Linked DNA regions of Arabidopsis thaliana. The protein of the gene in region 1 purifies or fractionates together with the protein of each later gene. This does not show direct contact. Each region holds a gene or a part of one and is shown in the gene's direction. Other genes may lie near its edges. The genes, in order: ABCB4, PIP3, PIP1C and HIR2.

The links.
Region 2: the proteins of ABCB4 (region 1) and PIP3 purify together in Arabidopsis thaliana (affinity purification with mass spectrometry, with the first as the bait; one large-scale study listed by BioGRID). This does not show direct contact.
Region 3: the proteins of ABCB4 (region 1) and PIP1C purify together in Arabidopsis thaliana (affinity purification with mass spectrometry, with the first as the bait; one large-scale study listed by BioGRID). This does not show direct contact.
Region 4: the proteins of ABCB4 (region 1) and HIR2 purify together in Arabidopsis thaliana (affinity purification with mass spectrometry, with the first as the bait; one large-scale study listed by BioGRID). This does not show direct contact.

The regions. Positions count from the first base shown.
Region 1 is NC_003071.7:19,309,344-19,319,665, reverse strand, and holds ABCB4 (ATP binding cassette subfamily B4), read left to right. Parts: upstream 1-4,322; 5' UTR 4,323-4,558; intron 4,559-4,594; exon of another isoform or gene 4,595-4,889; 5' UTR 4,890-4,915; coding exon 4,916-5,227; intron 5,228-5,314; coding exon 5,315-5,369; intron 5,370-5,466; coding exon 5,467-5,642; intron 5,643-5,720; coding exon 5,721-5,942; intron 5,943-6,020; coding exon 6,021-6,259; intron 6,260-6,344; coding exon 6,345-7,144; intron 7,145-7,217; coding exon 7,218-8,095; intron 8,096-8,216; coding exon 8,217-8,483; coding exon of another isoform or gene 8,484-8,543; exon of another isoform or gene 8,544-8,568; coding exon 8,569-8,832; coding exon of another isoform or gene 8,833-8,915; coding exon 8,916-9,209; coding exon of another isoform or gene 9,210-9,242; exon of another isoform or gene 9,243-9,304; coding exon 9,305-9,658; 3' UTR 9,659-10,023; downstream 10,024-10,322. Other genes in the region: AT2G47010 (calcium/calcium/calmodulin-dependent Serine/Threonine-kinase), read right to left, coding at 414-536, 624-1,139, 1,256-1,848, 1,912-2,161; AT2G46995 (uncharacterized protein), read left to right, coding at 10,082-10,198. UniProt on the Arabidopsis thaliana protein: Auxin influx transporter that mediates the transport of auxin in roots. Contributes to the basipetal transport in hypocotyls and root tips by establishing an auxin uptake sink in the root cap. Confers sensitivity to 1-N-naphthylphthalamic acid (NPA).
Region 2 is NC_003075.7:16,705,885-16,712,628, forward strand, and holds PIP3 (plasma membrane intrinsic protein 3), read left to right. Parts: upstream 1-2,476; 5' UTR 2,477-2,787; coding exon 2,788-3,073; intron 3,074-3,165; coding exon 3,166-3,461; intron 3,462-3,720; coding exon 3,721-3,861; intron 3,862-3,954; coding exon 3,955-4,074; 3' UTR 4,075-4,523; downstream 4,524-6,744. UniProt on the Arabidopsis thaliana protein: Water channel required to facilitate the transport of water across cell membrane. May be involved in the osmoregulation in plants under high osmotic stress such as under a high salt condition.
Region 3 is NC_003070.9:223,502-230,121, reverse strand, and holds PIP1C (plasma membrane intrinsic protein 1C), read left to right. Parts: upstream 1-2,578; 5' UTR 2,579-2,945; coding exon 2,946-3,273; intron 3,274-3,430; coding exon 3,431-3,726; intron 3,727-3,810; coding exon 3,811-3,951; intron 3,952-4,040; coding exon 4,041-4,136; 3' UTR 4,137-4,457; downstream 4,458-6,620. Other genes in the region: AT1G01630 (Sec14p-like phosphatidylinositol transfer family protein), read right to left, coding at 188-293, 398-693, 779-916; GPAT4 (glycerol-3-phosphate acyltransferase 4), read left to right, coding at 5,867-6,177, 6,256-6,571. UniProt on the Arabidopsis thaliana protein: Water channel required to facilitate the transport of water across cell membrane. Its function is impaired by Hg(2+).
Region 4 is NC_003074.8:85,966-92,550, reverse strand, and holds HIR2 (SPFH/Band 7/PHB domain-containing membrane-associated protein family), read left to right. Parts: upstream 1-2,957; 5' UTR 2,958-3,194; coding exon 3,195-3,383; intron 3,384-3,460; coding exon 3,461-3,581; intron 3,582-3,669; coding exon 3,670-3,858; intron 3,859-3,940; coding exon 3,941-4,299; 3' UTR 4,300-4,867; downstream 4,868-6,585. Other genes in the region: AT3G01300 (Protein kinase superfamily protein), read left to right, coding at 1-66, 154-289, 685-821, 914-1,037, 1,223-1,734; VDAC1 (voltage dependent anion channel 1), read right to left, coding at 4,939-5,245, 5,332-5,540, 5,641-5,727, 5,842-5,952, 6,182-6,249.

The DNA.
Region 1 (10,322 bases):
AAGTCTTGTACTGCGATCTGGCTAAAGCGTATATTCATTATTCCCAACTGTATTCCTAACCCTCTAAATTAGCTGGAGGGTTCTGGTTTTTACGACTATGTGTGTTAAATCGGAAGGTAGAGAGAAATAATTTAGCTGCCACGTGGTAGGACCCAAAGTACATCGCAAGTACACTTTTTTTTTTTGCTTGATGGTTGATATTAGTACGCAATTCTCTTTCCAGTACCGGTACTACACAATTACATCGGAATTTGTTTGGTTTACTTTGAAAACAAAAACTTTGGATTGGTTCAGTATTGGTTGCATATTTTGATAAAATAATTGTACCAAATGAATATAAATTAGTTGTGAATCTTATATTATAAAATTGACTTGACGACAAAAAAAAACAAATATTATAAAATTGACTTAAATCAAGTAATAAGAACATCGAAATCAGAGAGATCCCATTCTGCAATTGCTTCATCTTCTTTATAAATCTCGGTGCCAACATCCACCGATGTCCAAATCCTCCTCGCTGGAATCGTACCGGGATCCTACAACATAAACAAATCAAAAACCAAAACCGGAATATTCAAAAGAAACAACAGAAAAACCAACCGGTTTACTGATCAATCAATCACCTGGTAGAAGAAAAGCCTACTGGACAAGCCACCAACATCAAGATCCCAAGTTCTCGGGTCACCCACCCAACCATCACCCAACCGGGTAGGATATCCATATTCACCCCAAACCGGGTGAGGCAAAAGCTGAAGAATCTCCTGAGCTTGTGGGTTACTATAAGCATCACAAGTCCCCACCGGAAGCTCAAGATGCTCGGCGTTTCCCGGCGCACAGTAAACGTGGTAAGCCTCGTAAGGGAAGCTCCGGTGGTCCGTACGGTGAACTCTGGTGCCGTTCCGAAACGTGTGGTACGGTGGACAGTTGTGAAGACTCTTGGGGTTGCACCAAAGTGGGGTTTCAGGGTTTATGATCATCTCCGAGTAACGAGTAACGTCGGTGGTTACGTCACCGTCGCAGGGCTTGCCGTTGTTTTTCCAGCAGCTTCCGATGTCGAGAAGATAGAATTGACTCTTGGCTCCGCCTCCTTGTTTTACATTTAGTGTTAGTCTCACTTTAAAGTTTGGTGACTCCGGAAGCTAATACAAAAACACAACACATTTCAATATTTCATCACAAAAGATCAATCAATTTCTTTTTGACAAGAATGAAAAAAACTTTTCAAAAAGGTTTAAAGTTAGTGTTAATTACTTACTGTTTTGAGCATTCCTCTAGTGTCATAATGGTATCCACCAGAGAATCCTTTAGTGGCATCAGCTCTAAGGTAAAGCATAAGCCATGGGTACTTAGCTGAAGTCTTAAGCTTATGTTTAAATACCCAACCACCAACGCCTACTCTCTTCTCCCACACAACCTCGTAATAACTTATCCCATCCAACCCATTTCCAAAATCTGCCCCTTGCTCGTACGTACCATTGAACCATCCCTTCATGGTTTGACCATCTCTCTGAAGCTCGGTTTTTCCGTGGTTCAGCGTCGGTTGGTTCATACAACCGCTGCCGAAACAGGGGAATAATCCGGGTTGATTGAAAGGTGGGATCTTTTTGCCGTTTTTAGGGCAAAGAGCAGATTTTGTGTCGTAGTTTCCATTTTTGAGCATGACCATCCAGAAACTCCATGGGTTTGGTTTGTCTGAGACTTGACAGAGGGAGCCTAGGTAGAGTTCTTTCTCGACCGCGTAAAGGTCAGGGTTATGCAATGCTGATTCTGATATGATTCCTGGTTTAGGCTTTCCAATCCCTAGCTCATTATCCGAGTCTGATACCTTGTGCACCAAGGAAGATCCACCTATCGAAAATTATAGTTAGAAACAGAGAAAACAGAGGAGAAAGAAAGAAGAAGAAAACTTACTGGTGGTTTTGTTTGATTGGTCTTCTGTGTATGCTTTGATGCATTTAGATGACAAATCGAAGCAATCTGCAGCTCGAGGACTACCCATGTGAGGAGCTTCGAAGCCAACCTCATTGCAGAAGTTCCAAGCTTCAAATGCCACTCTGAGACCGTCTCTCTTCATCCCAGGATCTCCAACCGCTGATCTCTCGTCTCCATGAACCAGGAGGATCAAGTTTACCACGGCCAAGATTGGAGCCAGTTGCTTCATTTGTCTCTTTTCCTCTCTTTCTGCATTTAGTTTTCTTGTGCTTTTTTGGTTAATCTATTTAAGCTTTTTTTTTGTGTGGACTGCAGTGGTAGTTGGTGAATGATTTAATCTCTATGTGATAAATGCTTCCAAAAGTCAAAGAAGCTGTTACTCTTCTTAGTGGCGATTATTGAGGGAGTAACCATGACTTGCTCTTTTCGATTCAGATCAAAGCAGTACATGTAGAAATGCTTGGATCAAAATACATTCTAATTTGCATTTGCGTTCAGAGTGATTATATCTTAAACCATCTGAAAACGAATCCTAAAATGTATTCAATGGTATGATTGCACTCTAGAGAGCAACAAGACAAGTCAATATATGATAAAGTTTCAAACTTTTTCTTCTCTATTAAAAATCAAAAGTTGAGCATTCTTTGAAGTAATTAGGCCCATGGGCTAGTAACGGCTTTGTCAGTGGGATATATAAAAAATTTGTAGGTTGGGTTTCCAAATTCAAAATCCATAGATTCGGGTTCTCGGGCCGGGTCAAGATCGTCTTATTTACGTCGGGAATTTTATACAGTTTCAAACATGTAGGGTAAAGGATTTGGGTCTATTCGACACGTGACACGATTCTCCAAAAGGTTAGTGGGAATCGAACCGCTTAAACTTTTTTTCTTCCCCCGGAAAAAGGTCTACTACGCCTACTGAAAAAAATGTCAATAATCTATCGAGTGAATTAATGAGTCCAATAATTAGTGTCATTCAGCAGATATTTTAAATTAATAGAAATTAAATATTTATGTGCACCAAAACAAAAACTTACAATAAAAATGACAAAACAAATCCACACTTCATCGAAAAATGAAAAATCTGAATAGCGCCTCACACGATTTATTAATGGTGTAGTCACTCTCACATCAATGTTTGGAATAAAATTGCAACTAGTAGTTTTTCTTTTCTTAGAAAAGTAGTATTTGATAACTTGTTCCCCAAGTAGTAAATTCTTGCTATAGACAAAAGATATACGTGGGTAGGTGATAAATATAGGAATATCATTATATGTCAGGAATGACGTCAGAATCGTTATTGGTTCGATAAGATTCATTGATTCTGAAAAGGCGCAGAAGAAGTAATGCGAGACCATTCCTTCCCTGGCTCCCTGGAAGAAAGAAAGGTCCCTTTCTCTGTAGTTTTGACTTTTCTTTGTTTTATTTTGAATCGATAATTTAAAATTCGGACGTGTTTCTTGCTCGTAAAGTAAAATAAGCTTCACGTGGTTCCAACCTAGAATGGTAGTGCAAAGATATAATCTGACCAGAAAATATAATTTTATAATATTTTTAGCTTAACTTACAAAATAACTAATGAAATATACATTTATGGGAATTCGATTTTTCGTTTGTTTTAACACATCAATAATTCCCATCGATCCGTTGGCAAAACGCAATTATGATAACAAAGATTACTAGTGAGGAATGGGTTCTTGCAGCACTTGTCAATTTGTCCATCCATAGTCACAAGTCACAACTAATGCCAACGAGAAAGTCAACTAAAGCGATGCAAGAAAATCATCATAACTCAGCTTCTTCCTTTTTTTTTGAGATATTGATGTGTATATGTACACACAAAGACGTACATACAAAATTCGAGTTTTTATATAAAACGAATCGTTTTAAACGATGATAAGGAGTAAGGACATATGGAAGCTGCTAATAACATGGCTAATTAACTAGCTATAATAAGAGATCAAATATATCTTATCACTGATACCAAAAAAAATAAAAAAAATAACTATATTGTACATATGAGTGATTCGCGGGATTATACAGACATACGGTCCTCCCGTATTAAAACTTTATGTTAAAATAATAGAGTTGTAGTTGAACAAAACAGCTAGACTAATCGTCGATCGCTGTGATCAATTCGTTCTTTATATTTTTTTAATGCTATAATTAATCATCTTGGTCAGCATTAGACAATAATGGGCAGATAAAATATTGAAAATGTTATCTTACGTATTATATTGTATTACAAACATAAAGGCATAATTCATTTTATATACACAAGATTCCCTATTTTATAACTACGCCAATTGTGCTATGGTTACAATTTAACTTTACTAACAACAACAACAAAAAGACTATTTTTCACAAATTTTACGAAGTAGTAGTTATTAATTTCATGGCATCCATTTTCTCTTTCTCTCAAACAAGTCACAGCTTGTTCGTCAAGAAATAAACAGAGCATATATAAACTCACATGAGTCCTTCCAAACTTCACTTACAATTATATAAAAATATATAAGCAGAGAGAGAGAGAGAGAGCTCTCTGCACATTTTTCAACTGCTGTTTATACGGCAAGACACCAAGAAGCCGCTAAACCCTAATCACTTTCTTCTTGTTGCTTTTCGAGGTATATATATATATTTTTATATTCTCTGCTTTAATCATTTTTATACTGGAAACTCTGTACTTTATGTTCTTATCTGGGCCGTAGCTTCGGTTATTCCTCATTGTAAACGACAGATCTTGCTTCAGGTTTCGTTATTTTTTCACATGTTCTTGAAAAAACAATATACAGATCTTTAGGGTGTTTTCATGGTTGGTGAAAAGTCTTTGTTTCTTTTCCTTCTTGGCCTGACCTTTATGTTCCCTATTTAGATATATACTCTCTCTTGAAGATCTCATCAGCTCATAGATTTAGAAACTTATTACATATCTCCTCTGTTCTTTTAAATGCTTAGGATCGTGAGGTATCTGTGAAACTCTAATGGCTTCAGAGAGCGGCTTAAATGGAGATCCAAATATACTAGAAGAGGTTTCTGAGACCAAAAGAGACAAGGAAGAAGAAGAAGAAGTGAAGAAAACAGAGAAGAAAGACGAGGAACATGAGAAAACCAAAACGGTGCCGTTTTATAAGCTCTTTGCTTTTGCAGATTCCTTTGATTTCCTCTTGATGATCCTCGGGACGCTTGGATCTATTGGAAATGGTCTTGGCTTCCCTCTTATGACCTTACTGTTCGGAGATCTCATTGATGCTTTTGGAGAGAATCAGACTAATACAACAGACAAAGTCTCCAAAGTAAATCAAACGAATGTTTTTTGTCTTAATTGGGATTCATTTCAAGATTTGACTTTCTTACTAGTTTTTTTTATTTAACTCACACAGGTTGCTCTGAAGTTTGTATGGCTTGGAATCGGTACTTTCGCAGCTGCTTTTCTCCGTAAGTTCATTGGATCTGTCGAAGGATCTAAACTTTGTGAAAAAAGATTTCAAGAAAACAAAGAGTGTAAACTTTTTTGATGTCTATGAATGTTCAGAATTGTCTGGCTGGATGATTTCTGGAGAGAGACAAGCAGCGAGAATAAGGAGTTTGTATCTAAAGACAATCTTAAGACAAGATATAGCCTTTTTCGACATCGATACAAATACAGGAGAAGTTGTTGGAAGAATGTCCGGTGACACTGTGCTAATCCAAGATGCCATGGGAGAAAAGGTAAGCTACTAAAAAAAAGTCAACATGGCGTTCTAATGTTTGAAACTTTATTTGTTAAAACGACGACGTTTTTGTCAGGTGGGAAAAGCTATACAACTTCTAGCAACATTTGTAGGAGGCTTTGTGATAGCTTTCGTAAGAGGATGGCTTCTAACGTTGGTCATGTTATCTTCAATTCCTCTACTTGTAATGGCTGGTGCACTTCTGGCTATCGTCATTGCTAAAACAGCTTCTCGTGGACAAACTGCTTACGCCAAAGCTGCCACTGTAGTTGAGCAAACAATTGGTTCTATAAGAACGGTAATTAGGCTTACTTATACACTTTTACTTAGCCAAAATTACCAAAACCACAAAGACTTACTATCTACATTTTTGCAGGTTGCATCATTTACAGGAGAGAAACAAGCGATAAGCAATTACAATAAACATCTTGTCACTGCTTATAAAGCAGGAGTCATTGAAGGTGGTTCAACTGGATTGGGTCTTGGAACGCTCTTTCTTGTAGTCTTTTGTAGCTACGCTTTAGCAGTATGGTATGGAGGAAAGTTGATATTGGATAAAGGCTACACAGGAGGACAAGTTCTCAATATCATCATCGCTGTTTTAACTGGATCCATGTAAGTACCTTTCATTAGCAATACCTCTTTGGTTCATTAACTTCCCTGCAAACTAATTTGAGATATCTTTTTGTTCCTTCCTTAGGTCGTTAGGTCAAACATCGCCTTGCTTAAGCGCATTTGCAGCTGGACAAGCCGCGGCTTACAAGATGTTTGAGACAATTGAGAGAAGACCTAACATAGATTCTTATAGTACAAATGGTAAAGTTTTGGATGACATTAAGGGAGATATTGAGCTCAAAGATGTTTACTTTACTTACCCAGCGAGACCCGATGAGCAAATATTTCGCGGATTCTCTCTGTTTATCTCGAGTGGTACAACGGTGGCTTTAGTTGGACAAAGTGGGAGCGGGAAATCTACTGTTGTGAGTCTGATTGAGAGGTTTTACGATCCACAAGCTGGTGACGTTCTCATAGATGGTATTAACTTAAAAGAGTTTCAGCTAAAATGGATTAGAAGCAAGATTGGACTTGTGAGTCAAGAACCAGTTTTGTTCACTGCAAGCATCAAGGATAACATTGCGTACGGCAAAGAAGACGCAACAACCGAAGAGATTAAAGCAGCTGCAGAGCTAGCAAACGCATCTAAATTTGTGGATAAGCTACCACAGGGTTTGGATACAATGGTTGGAGAACATGGTACTCAGCTTTCCGGTGGACAAAAACAGAGAATCGCGGTGGCTAGAGCAATCTTAAAAGATCCAAGAATCTTACTTTTAGATGAAGCTACAAGCGCGCTTGATGCAGAATCTGAGAGAGTGGTTCAAGAAGCGCTTGATAGAATTATGGTTAACCGGACTACTGTTGTGGTCGCTCATCGGTTAAGCACTGTGCGAAATGCGGATATGATCGCTGTGATCCACCAAGGCAAGATCGTCGAGAAAGGTAAACTACCTAACATTCTTATTCACTTTTTGCATATGGATACACATGTGTGATAGCAAAATTTGATGAACAGGTTCTCACACGGAACTACTAAAGGACCCGGAAGGAGCTTATTCTCAGCTGATTCGTCTACAAGAAGAGAAGAAATCTGATGAGAATGCAGCGGAGGAGCAAAAGATGTCATCAATTGAATCATTCAAACAATCTAGTCTGAGAAAATCGTCTCTAGGCCGGTCTCTAAGCAAAGGAGGATCATCCAGAGGAAACAGCAGCCGCCATTCTTTCAATATGTTTGGTTTTCCAGCAGGAATTGACGGAAACGTCGTTCAAGATCAAGAAGAGGATGATACTACACAACCAAAAACCGAACCAAAAAAAGTCTCCATTTTCAGAATTGCTGCTCTAAACAAACCAGAGATTCCGGTGCTAATACTTGGATCAATATCCGCAGCAGCAAATGGCGTTATCCTTCCAATCTTTGGCATACTAATCTCCAGCGTAATCAAAGCGTTTTTCCAACCACCTAAAAAGCTAAAAGAAGATACAAGCTTCTGGGCAATCATATTCATGGTTCTTGGTTTCGCATCCATCATTGCATACCCAGCACAAACCTTCTTCTTTGCCATAGCTGGATGTAAACTAGTGCAGAGGATCAGAAGTATGTGTTTTGAGAAAGTGGTTCACATGGAAGTTGGATGGTTCGACGAGCCAGAGAATTCTAGTGGAACCATAGGAGCAAGGCTATCAGCAGATGCTGCCACAATCCGTGGTCTAGTTGGAGACTCTTTGGCTCAGACAGTTCAGAATCTTTCATCTATATTGGCTGGTTTGATCATTGCATTTTTGGCTTGTTGGCAATTAGCTTTCGTGGTCCTCGCGATGCTCCCGCTTATCGCACTCAATGGATTTCTTTATATGAAGTTCATGAAAGGTTTCAGCGCTGATGCAAAGGTAAACTAGTTTTTTTTTTTTTTTTTTTTGCTAAGATAGGTAAACTAGTTACTACTTTTCATACATATACCAACTAGATTCTCTCAATCATTTGATTAACGTTACTTTAAATCATTGGCAGAAAATGTACGGGGAAGCAAGCCAAGTAGCGAATGACGCGGTAGGGAGCATAAGAACCGTTGCTTCATTCTGTGCAGAAGACAAGGTGATGAACATGTACTCAAAGAAATGTGAAGGTCCAATGAAGAATGGGATTCGTCAAGGCATAGTCAGTGGTATTGGTTTCGGCTTCTCTTTCTTCGTCCTCTTCTCTTCTTACGCTGCCAGTTTCTACGTTGGAGCACGCCTTGTCGATGATGGCAAAACAACCTTCGACTCTGTTTTCAGGGTACGGAAACAAAACACACAACATGTTGATGATAAATGCCTTCCCTTGAGAGTTTCTTGATCCCTTGTCATGTTTAACAATGCAGGTTTTCTTTGCTTTGACAATGGCGGCAATGGCGATATCTCAATCGAGTTCGTTATCTCCAGATTCCAGCAAAGCCGATGTAGCTGCTGCCTCGATTTTCGCAATAATGGACAGGGAATCAAAGATTGACCCAAGTGTGGAATCAGGAAGAGTGTTGGATAATGTTAAAGGAGACATTGAGCTTCGTCATGTTAGTTTCAAATACCCAGCAAGACCAGATGTTCAAATCTTCCAAGACCTCTGTCTAAGCATTCGAGCTGGAAAGGTTAGGATTTCAAAACTTTCATTCTTTGAGCAAAAAAGGCAGAACCTTTTGAGTAAACCTCTGTTCTCTGTTTCACATTCCAGACAGTTGCTTTGGTTGGAGAAAGCGGTAGCGGGAAATCAACGGTGATTGCATTGTTGCAGAGGTTTTACGATCCAGATTCAGGTGAGATCACTCTTGACGGTGTAGAGATCAAGAGCCTAAGACTAAAATGGCTAAGACAACAAACGGGACTTGTGAGCCAAGAACCAATCTTGTTCAACGAGACAATTAGAGCCAACATTGCTTATGGCAAAGGAGGAGACGCGAGTGAATCCGAAATCGTATCTTCAGCTGAATTATCAAACGCCCATGGATTCATCAGTGGTCTGCAACAGGTAAAAACTCAACCTTTAGGGTTCTTACTCTGATTCCCAAATCAATGGGTTATCGGGTCGGGTCAAATTAACCGGAGATTACTTGCCTGATTTAGGGTTATGATACGATGGTGGGAGAAAGAGGAATTCAATTATCAGGCGGACAAAAGCAACGAGTAGCTATAGCCAGAGCCATCGTCAAAGATCCAAAGGTGTTGCTGCTCGACGAAGCCACGAGTGCTCTTGACGCTGAGTCTGAGCGTGTGGTTCAGGACGCGCTAGACCGTGTTATGGTAAACCGGACTACGATTGTGGTAGCTCACCGGTTATCGACGATTAAGAATGCTGACGTAATTGCCGTCGTTAAGAACGGCGTCATCGTTGAGAAAGGAAAGCACGACACGTTGATCAATATCAAAGACGGAGTTTATGCTTCGTTAGTTCAGCTTCATCTAACCGCGGCTTCTTGATCTTAATTATCTTTTTGTCCCTTTATTTTTATTTTATGTCAATTATGCCCCGTTATATTTATTATTGTTGTGAATTTCTATTTTGGGTAATTTTTTGGTTCTTATTATATTATTGAGGGTACTGTAATGTATTATACCATTTGAGATTGGGTGTTCAAAACAAGAATATCCAAAACTATCATTTTCATTAAGCCAAGTTGATAGTTTTGGATAGTTTCTATGTATACATAATCGTAGCTATCCACTCCCCATTCCGGTTGATCGCTTTGAATCTCCATAGTCCACTACGCTATCTTCGTCGCTTTCGTTTTCGTCTTCTTCTTCGTTGCTATCGCCGGAATTATCTTCCTCCGGATTGTAGTCGGACTTTTGTCATTGTTCAGAGAGGAAGAGACTGTAGATTCATCAGTGTTCGTCGTATCAATGGGGCCCTCCGTAGAAGCGATTTGCTCCGTCTCGGTCTCTGTTTTGCTTGATCCGGAAGCTATGATTGGAATAAACAGAAACCCTATATTTTGCGTAAGCCGAATACTTTTGTGAGTTTTAAGTTGCATTATTTATAGATGGGATCGAACTTGGGCTTAATCAAAGGAGAAGGCCCATTTATTTCCAAAACACAAAGTAGGAAATATCAGGTGGGAATTTGTTGTTTCCCCTGCCTCCT
Region 2 (6,744 bases), on another chromosome or scaffold:
TTACCATATGTGTACTAAATGACAAGATAACTAATTAAAAAACAATCCACAAAAATAAACGCATTCACTACTAATTAAACAAATATACTGCTAATCAAAATCAAAAGCACATTCTCAAGGCATAATTGAACCATAAAATTGATGTAAAAAAAAAAAAAAAACCGTAAAGCATACGGTAATCAAATGTAGTGACCGTTGGAGGGGGAATCGGAAAAAGGAATTGCGAGAAACGAGGACCATTATTTAAAAGGATGGAAAAAGACAGATGTTTATGGATCGTTCTAGCCGTTACCAGATACGATACACGTGGGATGATCTGTATGGATTAACGAAGAGATCTGACCTGTCTTTTGCCAAACTGATGTGGAAATTGTGACCTGGATGTTTTAGAGATAAAGATTGGCTGCCCCTTGTGGTAGGTCAGTCCCTTTCTCTGAACTATATAATATACTCAATTTAATTTAACTAGACTAGTTGAAATTGTTGAAGTTCGCTAACCATAATGTACAAAAATCCTTCATGTTCCGGGAAAATAAATCATAATTAACGATAGGTATAGTAGCAGCAAAGATAAGATGGTGATCCATTCTCACATGCAATGATTCGGATGAAGTTTAGCCAAATATTATTATTATCCAACCTCTTCTGCACCACGAAGAGACTTTATTTACGTAATATATTTGATGGTCCAGTACTACTATCCAGACATTATTGTTTTCGTTTCCAAATCATAAAACTTGAAATCTTATTGATTACTACTAGGGTCGATATCTCACTATTTGGAAACCGCAGGCTCCCTATTTATTAGTTTCAAACTCAATTGAAATGAAAATGTGTATTGGTGGTTTTAATGTTTGCACTGCGTAATGTTGCCTGAACTGTATATTTAATAAATTTACCACAACTTAGCAGATATAATTTTGTTATACGAAATCGTATAGTCTTCTTCATGGACAAAGAGGAAGGCAATCATCATTTTCTATGATTGCTCATCGACCTGGCATTTCCATTACCAAAGGCAGCATAATATCAAATCAAATATTTCTTTGTCGTACTTTACTTGAATTAATGATATTATCGTGGGTCGACTTAGGAAGTAAAGTTACTTCCATTTCATATATCTAAATCACATTTGCGTAAAATTTAAGTATTACACAAAGTGATAAAGTAAATTAAGTAATAATTGGCTAGGGATATTAACAAAATAAATAATTTTGATTAGGGCTACGAGGATAAGGACAAACGTCGTATTAACGTATAAAAAATGTGAAAGGAAAAGAGTAAACTAAGCTTTAGATATTAACACTCATTACGGGATTCCTAAATTGCCAGCACTTCGGATTATCCGTCAGTCCACTATTTATGCTAGTTTTTCTTTTCCTTGTGAGCTTGCACTATGGATTTTTCTTTATGCAATTCTCAATCTAAATGACCATTAAACTTTAGAAAAAAATGACCATTAAGTTTTAATGTACATTTGTATCAACTTTCTAATATGCCACGTCCGTATTGCTATATACAAACATAACCATTCAAATTAATATGGCTCTCTCAAAGGAAAAAAATAAAAGGAATAGCAAATGAGTAGATAAATTTTTTGATCAAAAAGAATAAGATGCACTAGTATTAGTATATACTCCCATACATCATTTAACCAAATTTTAAAATTGATTATAATCCATAAATAGTCTTCAAATTTCAACGACAAACACATTAATGTGAGTATAAATTAGCATAGACTACTATATAGTTTATATGCGGGGTGAATGTTTGTCTATACAAGTTTCGTCAAAAAAACGGCACCAACCATAATTAATAGACTCTTATCTTTTGCTGGTATATGAACTCTTTTTAAAAATTGCCGCGAATATACCTTCTTCGTAGATTATTAATCTTTTTCATGTACAGTTGCCTTTAGCAGATTATCATATGTTACAAACATTTGACCTAATTTGAAAAAATGTTACCAAAAAAGATTTGGAAAAAAAGACAAAGATATTGAGATAACCGTTGAAGAGAGTTTGGGATGACAGGCTGACGAGAAAACCATACACCTCATTTCTATCATTAACCCTCACATGGCTTATCTGTACATCTGGACCCCACCACCTTCTACTTTTATCTCCCATTTTTTTTTTCAAATTATTACTACCCAAAAAAATATTCAACAAACCTACAAAAACACATGTCTTATTTTTATTTATTTAAACATTTGTGTATTTATCCCATTGTTCCATATTTATTAGTAGGAAAAATATTCACATTTTACAGAACTGCAAAAGATTTGGCCATGCAAATTATACCCCACTTTGATTGCTATTTTATACACTATATCATACAGTACAAGAACAAAAATTTGATTGGGCCAGTAATAATGCATATAACTATTGATGTTAGCAAGAGAAAAAAATGCATTAAAACACAAATTTGACTATTATTTTGCAGGAACATTCGTGATAATTTTGACTATTATTTTGTCAGTAATAATGCATATTAATCGTATGTGATTTTAACTAAAACTGGAAAGTTCCAAGGAACATTTAGTAGTTTATATTTTTAGTACTAAGTTAGTTTAGAGGGTTATTAACTATTTAATCGTACTAATAATGATTATAAGCAGAATTATGTAGACTATACAAATAGTACGTAATACCGAAAGTACCCTTGGTTTATCCCTGGCATTACAAGGGTTTCCTTTTTCCCCTTTAAAATGGCAGAAGAGATACACTGTCGTCGTCACACAGCACCACAAACTCCATAGCTAGCTAGAGAGTAAAAAGAACAAAGATGTCGAAAGAAGTGAGCGAAGAAGGCAAAACCCACCATGGAAAAGACTACGTGGATCCTCCACCAGCTCCTCTTCTCGACATGGGTGAGCTCAAATCCTGGTCTTTCTACAGAGCTCTCATCGCTGAGTTCATCGCTACACTCCTCTTCCTCTACGTCACCGTCGCTACTGTCATCGGCCACAAGAAGCAAACCGGTCCTTGTGACGGCGTTGGTTTACTTGGTATCGCTTGGGCTTTCGGTGGTATGATCTTCGTCCTCGTCTACTGCACCGCCGGTATCTCTGGTAAGTTTGAATCCCACCAAAAACCCTAACTTTTACTTGTTTGGTTCGTTGGTTTTATTGTTAATCTCGTTCTTGTTCTCGTCTTCTCGTAGGTGGTCACATTAACCCAGCTGTGACTTTCGGTCTGTTCTTGGCCCGTAAGGTCTCTTTGGTGCGAGCTCTTGGTTACATGATAGCTCAGTGTCTTGGAGCCATTTGTGGTGTGGGTTTCGTGAAAGCTTTCATGAAAACTCCTTACAACACTCTTGGTGGAGGAGCTAACACCGTAGCTGACGGTTACAGCAAAGGAACTGCTCTCGGAGCTGAGATTATTGGAACTTTCGTCCTTGTTTACACCGTTTTCTCTGCAACTGACCCTAAGAGAAGCGCTCGTGACTCTCACATCCCCGTAAGTCTCAAAAAGCTTGAATCTTTAATTGAGTTTTTTGACAAAGTTACTATGAATCTGATTGGGTCTTTGTAGATTATGATAAAGGTTGAATCTTTTTAGGATTTAATGATAAAGTTAGTATGAATATAAAATGGGTCTTTGTAGATTCTGATGAAGTTTGAATCTTTTTATGGTGTAATGACAAAGTATGTATGAATCTCTAAGGATCTTTACTTTGTAGATTCTGATAAAGTGTGGTGGGTTTTCTTGTGATTAGGTTTTGGCTCCACTTCCAATTGGATTTGCTGTGTTCATGGTGCATTTGGCTACTATCCCCATTACTGGAACTGGTATCAACCCAGCTAGAAGCTTTGGTGCTGCTGTTATCTACAACAACGAGAAGGCGTGGGATGACCAAGTAAGTGTTTAGTTATTATCTGGATTAGGTATTCACTAATCATTCATGACTTCATGTCCTAATGTTGGTTCTGTGTTGGTTTTGGTTTTGCAGTGGATCTTTTGGGTTGGTCCGTTCTTGGGAGCACTAGCTGCAGCAGCTTACCACCAATACATATTGAGAGCTTCAGCAATTAAGGCCTTGGGCTCGTTCCGAAGCAACGCAACCAATTAATGAAGGCTTTTTTTAAGATAATGTCAAGAAACAACTTTAAGATTTATATGCTTTAATTATTATTTGTTGTTCTTTTGTGTGTAATGAGAGAGATGGTGGATTGATGTTAATTATGAAATGGCTCAGTGACTTCTATTTCCTTCTTTAGTTTTTGATTGTCTTTGTTAATCGTTTGCCTTTGGTTTCTCTTAGTAGTTACAAATTCATGTTTTCTCTTCATGTCAGTTCGTAAATATCGAACAATCCAAGTTGGAATTTATTATTCACAACATCACAAGATCCTTCAATGTACATTATTACAGCTAGCGTCCAATTAAGATACAAATTTCGGCTGAACATGGTGTGTGGGTCTTTTGGTTATTATCCTCGTGTCGACTCTAAACCATCGGGTCATATGTAAACCATTCATTAATTGACACGTGTTGAGAAGGAAATATTGGATTCCATTTGCTATGTGGTTACATTTTCGTTAGTTGACAAGAAAACAACTATTTTCGCTCCATTTGCTTTAGTCTTTTTTTTCGATGTTACTTGTTAGAATTAGTATTGTTTTTAAAAGAAAAAGAACTCGTGCGAGTACCTTTTGTTGTTTTTGTGAAAGGATAAAAAGGAGTGGAGCCAATAGAGTTGTAACAACCAGACAAGAAACGAGACATTAAACCCATTTTTTCCACCGCACTCTAACTTTTCTTAGGCCGCGTGTCGCGTAGCTCATGTGTTTATCACATGGGTAACTTTTCTGCGTCTAGTTACCGTATTGTTATTGTTATTGTTATATAGTAGACTCCTTTTGGCTAAGAGTCTTTAGACCCACCCAAACGCATATGTGTTTGGATGTATTAGGAAATTATTTGTATAAAAGACTTTACCAACTTAATTGAATAATGCATTTGATTAAAGAGAGAAAAAAAAAAGAAAATGCTCATGGAAGCAATAAGCACTAAATTTGTCTATGGGATGTAAATTGCGACAGTGAGAGTTGGCTTTAAAATAGTATGAATACAAATACGAATTTGTCTACATGGAATAGTAGTAATAATTCACGTCTCGTCTTTTCAGAAAAGTGAATGCAGAGGAGACAGAGAGAGAGAGAAGGACCACAACGATGGCCTTCACGCTTTTACTGGTTAATACGCCTAGTGTCTCAGTTTTAATTTTAAATACTTAGCCGTTATGATCGATTCTTCGTTATCTCTTCTTAGCTTCAATATGGTCCACTCATTTTGAACTTTGTAAACCCTAGCAGCTTATGAAGTATGAACCATCATATAGTTGGGCCTTAAATTTTGTTTTATAATAGCTATTGCTTTATTGGTTCTGGATAATAGCAATTTTGCAAGTTGCAAAATACCTTATGTGACCGGCCGGTTCACCCCTCTGCTTATCCCTAAACCGATTTACTTTAACCGATCTGATGCTGTATAGCTAAAAACATAAACTTGAAACAGACAGCAGCTGAGTGTGAAACTTAGTTGTCTGTCCATTTTTTTGAAAGAAATGATGTCATAATATGTTGACAAAAAACATCTTCAACTTTGGATATAAATCACTAATTCAGACTTTTTAAAAGTTGCGAACTTTTTTAATCATTCCATGTTACGGATTATTTTTTATGTGTCTGGAAAAATTGGCTGTCAAGGTGATTTCACGTGATAACTAATTTGTTTTTTTGAGGTCATTTGCCATCTTGTGAAAGCCTTTGGAGCCTACTTAAAGATTTTATTTTATTTTTTCTAGTAAAGACGATTGAAGTAACTGCTGTCTATTAGTTAAGATCTGAATCTCCAATGAGGTTATTTATAATTACTTACTCACATTGTGCAACAAAACCAAGCACAATTTGTGGTCCACAAACCTTTATCTGGAGGTTTCTGGTTCAACTTCTCCGGTTTACACTTAAATCTTCGTTTCGTGAGCAAACCCAACGGGGAGCTTCCCGTTGGGCCATGTTTCAGTGGGCTCGGTGTAAAGCCGACATGAGTAACTGAAGCCCAGTAGCATTGTCGCAAATAACAGATTGATTTGTCCGTTGCAAACGGTTTAAAAGCAGAGTACGATACTTTGTTACTTTTAAAAATATCAAATCTAACAATTATGTAACAAAATCAACTAGTGAATAACATAAAAACATAAGATATATTTGGCTTTAAAATCCCCTAAAAATCATCGTTATGGAATAACATCTACTTTTCGACAAAAACAAAGTAACAAAAAAATCGAAGAGTAGAGCTCAAATTGAGTGTAATAAAGAATGAACTCAACAAAATTATTCATTCCTTTATTTTGCAAAAGTGTTGTTTTGACATTTTCTATACACATATTTAAAAGAACTATACTATACAATATTCAACAAGTTCTGCTATAACTAACACAATAAATATAGTTGTGAATTTAATTTTTAATAAACAATCTTTCGTTTTCCAAACTCGAAGGCAACTTGTAATCTTTCCCATTATAGAAAACGAAAGAAACCAAAAAAAAAAAAACATAACCAAAGAAAAATGCATCACACAAATCAAAACGTATTTATTAGCAACAACCAAATATCTTAATATTTTTTATAAGTTACCAATAAATACCAGCTTTCCCATAATACTTAAAAACCCTAACCTTAAAAACTCATTTATTAGAGCATTTTTGATTTTGTGCTATTACCTACTACCCTTGGCT
Region 3 (6,620 bases), on another chromosome or scaffold:
AAAAACACCTTTTAAAACATAGTAAATAGTACTGACGAACAAAAGGTTTCTTAGTTGGAAGTCAAACTGAATTCTCTATATTTGGAGTTAAGTGGATTATTAGCAATATTTTCCTTTATTAGTGATAATTGCTAAAAACCTAAATGTTTGTTTCAAAAGATATGATAGGCGAATTAAAGGAAGTAACCTGCAAAGTGGAAAGAGCAGCAAGGTAGCCACGGATGTCACAATTAGAATATCCCCAGCCTTGCAGATCTCCAATTGCTACGAATTTCTCTTGACCTCTCGGCATTCTAACATGACAACATTCAAACAAACAAAAAAAGAGCATTAGCATAAATGGTTTCTTATATACCCACACTAACTTAATGTATGTAGTAATATTATTATTATTCACCTAGCACAAATCTTCTCGAGCGTGTAGACAACAAAACGCTTGAACTCGTCAGGGTTGCCTTTGGAAGGGTTATGTCTGTTCCCAATGGCAACAGCGATAGGTCGACCCATCTTGTCATGACCTTGCATACACATCTTGTTATGCGATAGATCATTTGCAATCTCTGCTTCTGGTATGTGCCCCTTTGGGAGCATGCTTCTCTTCCAAGTCAGGTAATTTAGAAACATCGTTGAAGCCTTTTCAATGTCCAGGTCACGCGCTCTCAGAAACCTCCTTATCATCAGATCATCCACCTCCTGCAAATCCAAATCATTAGGGCTTTTATCAAATCAATACTTTTCTGGTTGAATTCTTTTTTTACTTAAAGAAATCGATAGGGACCTTAGTTTCAGGATCTTGTCGGTCGCAGAGAGCTCTCATGATCCCGACTTTGCTCCTCTCGATCTCATCTTCGATCAACGGAACGGTCTTTTGCTCAGCTGCTGCTGCTGGTTCTTGCTTGGTCTCTTTGTTTTCCATTACGTTTCTCCTGTGAGCGACGACCAGATCTTGAAATTGGTAGAGAGAAGAAAGAAGTAGGATCGATCATAAATGAAGACAGCTGCTGAGAGAAAGATTTTAAGTGTCATTCAATGCAAAGTTGGGCTGCTTTCCCCTTCAATGGCGACGCTCACCAACTACTCTCTTCCTTACAAAAATTCTACTCATTTATTGACTAATCCCAGGTCCCCGACTCTACAGGAAGAAGACGATTATATCGTATTGGGCCTTATTAGAGCCTATTGGGCTCGAGTTGATTTGTCGTAAAGACTTGGTCTGTGGTTTAATCAATCTCTCATGCCTCAAAGTGTTGACTGATTCAGAGGCCGTTTTAGTGTTTTGAGCCCACGTCAGAAGCTTGTCTGTCGTCTGTGTGTATAAAACAAAATTCAATTCACGATTTTTTAAAATATTGATCGTATCTTTTTCCACATGTATGTAAGCAATGAAGGATCTGCTTCGTTGCAAAATATTAGTTTTTCTTTTGATAGGCATGTACCAACTAAGTACCAGCTACGTACACAGACAAAGTCAGTAACAATTAAAATTCATCAACCTAGTCATTGCTTGTTCATCAATCAACCTAATCATTTGTTTGCTTGTTAAATAACAATGCCAACGTTATTATTTCTATTTCTATACTATCATACATTCATACGGTCCACGCCTCTAACAAAAAAAGATATTGATAAAATTTAAAAGATAGATAATTCGATGAAATGAATTATAATGAAATGTGATTTGTACAACTGAGAAAGGATGTCATATACGGACTTTGGTCGGGACCGCCCCAGTAAACACCACCAACACATATTTGCCTCTTCAACCACGTGTCGTGATTCTGTTGGTTGGGCAGCTAGACGACTGTGATGTGTGTGTGTGGGTTGCGTTTCGAAAAATGGCAAACCCCACCACTAGTTCAATAAAAGGTGTTTCTTAATCATATAGTTTAGCTTCGGATTATTTGTTTCCCTTTTCAGTTTTTTAAAAATCGATATCTACAATAGAGTTAATCTGTTTATAAATTCAATTATTGTTCGGGTAAGACAACATCAACAAAACTAATAGGGTTTGAATCCTAAACACTAAACTCCATTTAACTAGTAAAGTATGGCTCATATAGCGTTAAAAATATGTGAATTGATAACAACAACAGAGTTTTGAATTTTATTTTTGTTAGGTTTGAATAGATTGATAGAAAAAGGAAAGTGGGAATAGGGAAACGAACATGTGATCACAGAAAAGCAAAATCCATTTCTGAGCTGGAAACCCCCGCAAAATTGAACCTTATCTCCAATTTTCATTTTCTTTTTTTCTAAAATATATATCGTTTAATTGAAAAACCTCAAATTCACAATCATTGTGATTATTTTGTCACTAGTAGTACACATAGTAATTTAATTAAACATTTTAAAAATACTCTAGGCCCGGCACAATGTTCGAGACTATGTTACTTTACATAAAGCAATCGCTTTCCACACACTTCTTTTCCTTTTCTTCTCCAACGGTCGGAAGTAAATTATTAATTCGTCGACTAGTCAAAAAGTTAGTCCTTTGTGAGTTTTCTGGCACTGTAATATTTTTTTTTACATTTCTAACTGCTGACTGAGTAGTACTCCTGTAGCAAGGCATTTGAGAATAAATTAGGTCAAACATGCTATCTTTATAAGGAGTTTCAGAATATAATACTAATAGTTAGCCAACGCAACAGAATTAGTATAAGCGTGGGTTGTGTTACATGATTAAACATCATCAAGTAGTAGGCTATTACAATTATTAACGTAAATAAATATGCTTTTACGAAGATCATCGTTATCCATGATTCCCTGTATTTCTCATTATTTAAATATATCATAATAGTTTCGAGACGTTAGTTTTTTTTGCTTTTTCTATTCTCTCTCTCTCTCGCCTCTATAAAACCATTCTTTCTCTATCTCAGCCACTCTCATTACCCATTGTAGAAAAGAAGAAAAAAAGCAAAGAACACTTGAACGTTTTCTAGATAGAGATGGAAGGGAAAGAAGAGGATGTTCGAGTGGGAGCTAACAAGTTCCCGGAGAGGCAACCGATAGGTACATCGGCTCAGACGGACAAAGACTACAAGGAGCCACCACCAGCTCCATTTTTCGAGCCAGGCGAGCTGAGTTCGTGGTCCTTCTACAGAGCCGGAATCGCCGAGTTCATAGCCACCTTCCTGTTTCTATACATAACAGTATTGACAGTGATGGGAGTGAAGAGAGCACCAAACATGTGTGCCTCTGTTGGAATCCAAGGCATTGCTTGGGCTTTCGGTGGCATGATCTTTGCCCTTGTCTACTGTACTGCTGGAATCTCTGGTAACCCCATTTTTTTTATCTTCTTAATACAAGTAGAATTGGTCTTTTGTTGCATGCTTCAAACCCTTGTAGCTCTGCTTTTAGTTTTCGATTTTTCTCAAAGAGATCTTAATTTAGAGTTGATTCTGATGAGTGTGTGTGTGTGTGTGTTTCACAGGTGGGCACATAAACCCAGCGGTGACATTTGGTCTGTTCTTGGCTCGTAAGCTGTCATTGACGAGAGCTGTCTTTTACATCGTGATGCAATGTCTCGGAGCCATCTGCGGCGCCGGAGTTGTCAAAGGCTTCCAGCCAAATCCTTACCAAACTCTCGGCGGAGGAGCCAACACAGTCGCTCACGGCTACACTAAGGGCTCTGGTTTGGGTGCTGAGATAATCGGAACCTTCGTCCTTGTCTACACGGTCTTCTCCGCCACTGACGCCAAGAGAAGCGCTCGTGACTCCCACGTTCCGGTATAATTTTGTTTTGATTCCTCTTAATTTATTGTTTTGGGTGTTTAGAAAAAGATTCATAATTTAGGGTTATTTTTTTTGCAGATTTTGGCACCACTCCCAATCGGATTCGCTGTGTTCTTGGTTCACTTGGCGACGATTCCAATCACCGGAACAGGAATTAACCCAGCTAGGAGTCTTGGAGCTGCAATCATCTACAACAAGGACCACGCTTGGGACGACCACGTGAGTACCCCATTACATCATTTGGTTGATTTGTCTTTCTATATGTCTTTGTCACTTTGGTTTGATTGTGGTTTGATTGTGGTTTGCAGTGGATATTCTGGGTCGGACCATTCATTGGAGCAGCTCTTGCGGCTCTTTACCACCAACTTGTCATCAGAGCCATTCCATTCAAGTCCAGATCCTGATTTGATTTCTTTCTTTATAAAACTTCATTGTTGCATCTTGGTTTGTAATTGAGCTTGAAAATATTTGAGAGATCTGGATCATGTGTTTATTTTAATTAATGGACTTGTCTTTTTCTTATTTGCTGTGGATGATCTGGTTTTATCGTTAAATGGAGTTTGATATTATGATTGATTTGGTACGATTTTAATTTTGCTTTTGTCGTTAGACTCGAGAAATTTTCAAGAGGAATTTGTTAATTTGATTTTCTTCTGGTTTGGTTCGGTACAAATTGAGTAAGATCCATATTGTTTCGGCTTGGTTTCTCGGGTCATCGACTCAACTAGTTTACGTGGTATTTAGCCCATATTTACATTGGGCCTCTTGCGCACTCTTTATGGGCCACGTTAACCAAGTGGGTATTAAGCCCATTTACATTGGGCCTTTTTCGCACTCTTTATGGATACAACTAGTATCCCATAATATGTCCATCAACGGCATCACTCCACCTTAATTTGTTGCGATAGATAGCCAACCAAGTTGAGATAAAACATTCTTACTTATTCTACAATAACCTCGTCAAAGTGGATTACCTACCCACTGCTTCACACCTTTTTTTTTTTTTAGTTTTTACTTTTCAGTTTCATATCTTCAAAGTGAATGTTTATGATAAGTTTGTTATCTTCTTGGAAATAAATTCTATTTCATAATTTTCATTGTACATAATTGCATGCATATTTTGGTAATTTATCTCAAACACACATATATGTATACACGCATAAGTCACTTTTCTTTGTAAGCTAAGGTTCACGTGATGCAGTTTCAATTTCCATAGCGTGTAAGTAGTTATTATACTCATACTAGGGGAATACTGTTACACTCATATCCGTAAGTATGAATGCATATGGCTCAATGGCTCTCCAACTCCCAACTATTTTACCGTTTTATTAATATACCATTGACATTTGAGTGACCATCCATGATACGCGGACAAAGAAAAAGAAAACCGTCTTAATCCCTTAATTATTATAAATTAAGGAGTTAATTATTTAAACCTAGTATAAAGTCAATTAACTCAATTAGCATTATAACTCTGTCGACGGCTCCTTGATACGTAAATATTGCAATCAAAATTAAATGCTACCAATATATAAAAGTCATTTTCATATAATTAACTTGGTCAGGCGGCCGTCGACTTTAATGTTTCACGTATAGTTGGATACTATATAGTATATACACACAATGCCAACCCACATATTATAAATTTATAATAACTCACCCAATTAATTATACAGCCTTCCATTTAGGTGAACTACTAAACTACTTTCTTTCATGTCAATCAACAAAAAGAAAGTAACTGAACCGCGTGTGACCAAAATTATATTTATGTATACACCAAATTCCATCATCTAATAAATACCCTAATCAAATAATCACTCATATTAACTTAAATATATTAGAAAAAAATAAGTGTCAATTGAAACCTTTGTTACGAATCATGTGATGTGAACATTTAATTTCTCATGGAGATAAAGAAATAAGAAGGGTTAATTTTGTAAAGATTGAAAGTTTAAGGATAATTTCGTAAATAGTTAATATTAATTGGACTGAAAAGTTATTTAGTCAGTTGAGCGATAAACAACCACTGGAAGGCGCATTTAAAACCCCAAGGACCTTCCCTCTCTTTCTTTCCAAATCTCTCTTTATCTCTCTTTCTCTGTTTACTAAATCGCCAGTATTCGCCGCAAGAAAGATGTCTCCGGCGAAGAAGAGCCGAAGTTTTCCTCCGATAAGCGAGTGTAAAAGCAGAGAGTATGATTCGATCGCTGCGGATCTCGACGGGACTCTGCTTCTGTCAAGAAGCTCTTTCCCTTACTTCATGCTGGTGGCCATTGAAGCAGGTAGTCTCTTCCGTGGATTGATCCTTCTTCTTTCTCTTCCCATCGTCATCATCGCTTATCTCTTCGTCTCCGAATCTCTCGGAATCCAAATCCTTATCTTCATCTCCTTCGCCGGTATCAAGATCAAGAACATCGAACTCGTCTCTCGCGCCGTTCTTACACGGTAACCACAATCACCGGATCTTTATTCTTTTCGATTTTGGAACCCTTTCGATTTTTAATCTTCGTTTTCAAATGTTAGGTTTTACGCGGCGGATGTGAGGAAAGATAGTTTTGAGGTGTTTGATAAATGTAAGAAGAGGAAAGTAGTGGTGACTGCGAATCCGATAGTGATGGTTGAGCCATTCGTCAAAGACTATTTGGGAGGAGATAAAGTTTTGGGAACAGAGATTGAAGTTAACCCCAAAACGATGAAAGCTACTGGTTTTGTGAAAAAGCCTGGTGTTCTTGTTGGTGATCTCAAGAGATTAGCCATCTTGAAAGAGTTCGGCGATGACTCACCGGATCTTGGCCTCGGTGACCGCACCTCCGATCACGATTTCATGTCCATTTGCAAGGTTTCTCTATCTCTCTCCTCTCTCGTTTCATTTTGCATATCCAGTTTAC
Region 4 (6,585 bases), on another chromosome or scaffold:
ACTGGCCTTACTGTTGCCGTCAAAACCTTAAATCCTGATGGCCTTCAGGGTCATAAAGAGTGGCTTGTAAGATCCTTCCTTCCTTCTCTTTTCTTCTATATATATATATCCTTTTCCACTGTTAAACACACAACTAAAGGTTCCTGTTTGCAGGCTGAGATTAATTATCTTGGTAATCTTCTCCATCCCAATCTTGTTAAACTGGTGGGTTATTGTATCGAAGATGATCAAAGGCTGCTTGTATATGAGTTTATGCCTCGAGGAAGTTTGGAGAATCACCTTTTCAGAAGTAAGTAAAACAACTACAACCTTCATATTCTAATTACACTGTAGAGTTATTTTCTTTCCTTTTCTTTGTTTTCGATTTGGGTAACAAGTGTCTACAATTTAGAGATGTGTCTACTCCATATTGTTAAAGTGATTAGAATCTATACAGCTAAAATTGGAACCTTTCTGCTCTATATGGTAAAGTTGGTACCTTTTAGTGCTGTCTTAGATGGTTTATATTGCTTGACTGTATTGACCCACGAAGCAATAAGTAAATCCCTCGCATTCATTGTTTCAAGATTTTTCGGCGTAAAAAATGTGTTTAAAAAGACACAGTGCTTTTGTATGATTTATCTTCTCAGTTATCATTGATGCAAATCTTTTTATTTGTGAATTAACTTGTGCTTCGTGTTGAAGGGTCCTTGCCTCTTCCATGGTCAATTCGGATGAAGATTGCATTAGGTGCTGCAAAGGGTCTCAGTTTCCTTCACGAAGAAGCTTTAAAGCCGGTCATTTATCGAGATTTCAAAACCTCAAATATTTTACTGGATGGGGTATGTTTTCCTCTTCTTTATATCAAGGGATCAACATCTTATATACACGTCTGTTTCTTTGCTTCTAAAGTCTTACCATGTCCCAATTTCAGGAGTACAATGCTAAATTATCAGATTTTGGGCTTGCCAAAGATGCTCCTGATGAAGGCAAAACTCATGTGTCTACTCGAGTCATGGGCACTTATGGTTACGCTGCCCCCGAGTATGTAATGACCGGTAAGTTTTGTTTTTTGTCTTTGCATTTCATTCACTCCTCTACTTATATCTTCTCTGTATGGTTGAATATAGAAAATTAGAAACCTACACATATGGTTGATGCAAAGTATTACTATGATGAAACATACATCTAATTTCTTTGGTTTGAGATTATATATAACTACTGTCCTCTTATTACTCCTTAGGTCACTTGACATCAAAAAGCGACGTTTACAGTTTCGGTGTGGTTCTTCTCGAAATGCTGACTGGTAGAAGATCAATGGACAAAAATCGACCAAACGGTGAACACAACCTCGTTGAATGGGCGAGACCGCATCTCCTGGACAAAAGAAGATTCTACCGGTTACTTGATCCGAGGCTGGAGGGTCATTTCTCAGTTAAAGGAGCACAAAAAGTGACTCAGCTTGCAGCACAATGCCTTAGCCGTGACTCCAAAATAAGACCCAAAATGAGTGAAGTGGTGGAAGTACTTAAGCCTCTCCCACACCTCAAGGACATGGCTAGCGCTTCTTACTACTTCCAGACAATGCAAGCTGAACGTTTGAAAGCTGGTTCTGGTTCTGGTTCTGGTCGTGGATTCGGGTCAAGAAACGGGCAACCAGTGTTTCGGACATTGTCTAGTCCTCATGGTCAAGCTGGTTCGTCGCCTTATCGTCATCAGATTCCGTCTCCTAAGCCTAAAGGTGCAACTACTTAGATTGGCTCGCAAGTGTGGACGCAAGCAAACGTCTTTTTTAACCGATGTAAAACCGACATTGTTAACCGATTTAAAGAAGGAAAATTAAGGTTGTTCCGAAGAAGATCCGAATTTGTGTATTTACTACCTTTGTGACCTCATGTTTCTTCGTCTGTTGTAACTCTTGAACAAATTGTCTGTTAGGGTAATATTGTCATTATGTATTAGTCGTTTCGTATCGCTTCACCAGCATGCAACCACCACTTCTTCAATGTAAAGATAGATAGATATCAAGAATGGTAATGGAAGATGTGGGTGGGGGTGAGAGACATTTTGCTTTGAAATTTTGAAAATTTTCTTCTCTTTGATTTTTGGACTTATCTACTTGTAGCTTGTCGATAATCGAGTTATTAAAATATAAATACGAAAGAAGAAAACTGACAACTTTTCTTACGTGAAACTTTTATACTCACATACAAGTTATCCACTTTCTTGGTTAAACATGCGAGCCGCAAGGACCAACGACTTTTATATACAAATAATTTCCTTATAAAAAGGATTACAGTAAGATACTTTGCACACTAGCAAGCTTGATGATTGTATATCAACATCATAATTTTTCTTATTAAGTTATGATAAAAAACATTCAACTATAATTTAAAATATAATGGACCGTTCCGAATTTCCATAAATTCGGTTACCACCTCCACCATTTTACATCAAACAGAAACCAAAAAATTAGATTTAGATATATATATATATACTAGTAGAAGTAGAACCATCTTGTTCTCGTATATTATTACGAAACCCTACAGTTAACAGCTGCAGAATAATATAAATAAAGCGACACTCCACTTTTTTCTCCTACATTTTGTTGAATTTGAACCTTTAAATCAATAGTATATAAGAACATACAATGTAATAGATAACGCGTTTACTCAATCAAAAGGAACAAGTATATACTACTAGATAACTCTTGTTTATTGGCGTCTGACAAGGCTCTGTAGTATATTCAACGATACGATTATCCTCTTTTCTTCGATAAAAGTATATTCGATTCTCTTACTACAGAAACATAGTTTACATTAATGTTAGTGAAAAATACCATGCACGGAAAATCAAAGATTTAATTCTGTGGTTTGTATAATTTGAAGTGTATAATGAAACTATTTTTTAGCCTAACCCAAAAAGAATTAAAAAGAAAAAGTAATTGTTATAAAAACGAAAAGCATATTTATCAAATATTATTATTGAATATTCTCCAAGATATAAACAATTTGACTTTTCAATGAAAATGCCACTATTGAATAATAAATAGGAAATTTCCGAGGAGTAGTACAACTAGATGACAACTTGACATGATCTTCTTCTTACTTTTGTCTATATAACACTCCTGCGACTTTCTTCTCTTCAACAAACTTACAGAGAGACAAATACCTATAATAAGCCATTCATAATCTTCTTGCTTCTTGTTCAGAATAATGGGGAATCTTTTCTGTTGCGTGCTTGTGAAGCAATCAGATGTTGCGGTCAAGGAGAGATTTGGCAAATTCCAAAAAGTACTTAATCCAGGTCTCCAATTTGTTCCATGGGTCATCGGTGATTACGTCGCCGGTACACTGACCCTTCGTCTTCAGCAACTCGATGTTCAGTGTGAAACCAAAACAAAGGTAAGTAACATTGAACACACATAATGCAAAACTTCTTCTTCTAATGGACCATTAATTCATCTATGATTATGTTTCAGGACAATGTGTTTGTGACAGTGGTTGCATCCATACAATACAGAGTCTTAGCTGACAAGGCAAGTGATGCTTTTTACAGACTCAGCAATCCAACCACCCAAATCAAAGCCTACGTCTTTGATGGTATATATATCTCCTCTTCATTTCTCAATACTTAGGGAAAGTGATGATTTATCCGGTCAAGTTATTGATTTTCGTTTTGTTTTTTCAGTGATCAGAGCATGTGTTCCAAAGCTGAACTTGGACGATGTGTTCGAGCAGAAGAATGAAATTGCCAAATCTGTGGAAGAAGAGCTAGACAAAGCCATGACTGCTTATGGTTACGAAATCCTTCAAACCCTAATTATCGACATTGAGCCTGATCAACAGGTTAAACGTGCCATGAACGAAATCAACGCCGGTAAGTCCTCAAAATCGTAAAACCCTAAATCAAAATCTAAACAAATAAATGGTCAAAACCCTGAATTCAATTGTTGTTACAGCGGCGAGGATGAGAGTGGCAGCGAGCGAAAAAGCAGAGGCTGAGAAAATCATTCAGATCAAAAGAGCAGAGGGTGAAGCAGAGTCAAAGTACCTGTCGGGACTCGGAATCGCTCGGCAGAGACAAGCGATCGTGGACGGTCTGAGAGACAGTGTTCTAGGGTTCGCAGGAAACGTGCCAGGGACGTCAGCGAAGGATGTGTTGGACATGGTGATGATGACTCAGTACTTTGACACAATGAGAGATATCGGAGCAACTTCTAAATCCTCTGCGGTGTTTATCCCTCACGGTCCAGGCGCCGTCTCTGACGTGGCAGCGCAGATTCGAAATGGATTATTACAGGCCAACAATGCCTCCTAATCACTCAAGTCAAATTGTCTTGGTCGTCTCTTTATATATTTTTGTATCTTCTTATTAAAAAGGTAAATTTGACTTTTAATATAATGGTGTGCTTATTGTGATTTGTCATTATGTTTGTACCTATCTCTTTTGTGAGTTGTGTGATAGATATACTTTGTATTTTTTCTTAAAAGTCAATATAAATTTCTGTTTGCGAGAGAAAAATCGAATCTTTGAATAGTGAACTTTGTGGCGATAAACTAATATAATGATTAATGAAGAGAATGTTGCGATATAGGACACTTTCATATAATGAAGAGAATGAACCTGATCGATAAACATGTGGGCCTAAAATGAAGCCCATCTCAATCAACTCTCTGGACACAGGTCCACTTACTCAACACACAGGCCCATCTGAATATGCAATTTTCATTATGACACGGCAAATAAAAAGAGAAGCAGAAGAGGAGGATCTTAAGAGTTTCATCACCATCTCAAGATGATCATTTTCAACCTTTTTATTCTTCTACAAATCCGGCAGGAAAATGGGAAAGATCAGTAGTTGCCCACTCAAACCATGAACCAAGCAGAGAAAAAACAGAGTACGTAGAAAGAAACTAGTTTAAAAAAACTATTGCAACTTCTTCTTCCATCTCAGTTTCAAGGCTTGAGTGCGAGAGCCAATCCAACTTTAGCACTCTTGTCAATTGACTTTGTGTCGACTTCTCCAGAGATTGTGAAGAATGACTTGGGTTTCCACTCGTGTTGAATGAGAGCACTTGCAATACCCGCACTATTGACACGAGCCTTCACAGAGGTCAAGGGGTCAAGCGAGTGCTGTGTTCCAACAGTTATGGTGCTGTCCTTGCTAGATAACTTGTGGCTCACTTCGGCTCCAACCGCAGTGTTGAACAGCGGGTTCACAATGTGATAGTAAGATGCATTCAATAGATCGCCCTTGTCGTTCCTAACAAACAACAAAATCAAAAGATATTAAATGGAAACATTGAGAACTCCATCTTTCATCCAGAATTCTCACTAAAAATCACTTACACAGTAAGGGAGGCAATTAAGTCCTCCTTGGTGAAGCTTAAACCAGCATTGATCTTGGTGAAATTTCCAGACTTGGTGTCAAATGAAACATCAGTACCAACAGCCAAGACATTGGAGCCAATCACACCAGAGAAGTTGACAGTTGGGTTCTGAGTCAATCCCATGCTTGTGCTGATACCGGCGTACTCATGCAAGTATTGCAGCTCAACCTGTTTATAAGACGAAACACGATAAAAATGAGAAGTCAACTCTCAACTGATGAAACTTTAAAACAATACAAAGAAATGTTGTTGAATTAATAAAATATACCTTGCCAGAATTTTGGTCAGGAACCTTGAAGCTGAAGATTGACCTCAGTCCGGGTGCAGCCTCATCAACGGTAGCGGTGATCAGAAACTGAAACCAATACACACAAAGTTGTAAGGTAAGTAGCCCAACAAACAAACAAAAAACTATAACTCAATATACAAGAAAAACAGGAGATGAAATTGAGTACACAAATACACTTACAGTAGAATCAGTGCAAACTTTCAAATCAGTAGTAATGTTCTTTCGCCTCGACTGAAAAGCGACATCTCCCAACAATAAGTCACCTTTCTTAGTTCCGGTTGAGGTGATGGCCTAAAACAAAGAAAGAGCCAGATTATGAGCAACGATGCCCAAGATAGAAGAAATCCAATGTTTACCATCACACGAAACATAAGAACAAAGTAAGAAATCCGTTACATAAGATAACAATGCTAATTCGACACAAACCTCAGAAGCTAATGAATAAAGCAAAAGTGGAAACAGAATACAGAAGACGACATTCCATAAACCCTAATCATCTATAATGAAATGAGAAACTTACAACACCGGCAGGAGAGAAAGTGGTGATACTGAATTTCTGGTCACTGTTGTGGTCTTTGTACAGAAGATCTGCAAATACACAGAGCAGAGCAACAGTTTTAGACAGCTTATTAACAAAACATTCTCAAAGGGGACTTAAATGGTGAGAAATGCTAAACATGAAAGAGAATCACAGCATTCAAATTGGCTATTCCAGATCAACGATAAACAAAACAGGGTCTATTGAGAAAGGTAGAGAGCTTAAACGAGAGTGACGGAGACATTGAACCCAAGGAATTACTCATATCAGCACCAATGATTGAAATCCATTACTTATGAATCTCTACCCGATCGAATACTCGAAATCTACGCATGCATCTATGATCTATCCCGGTAGCCAAATCGGGACCGGGAAAAGGAAAATCT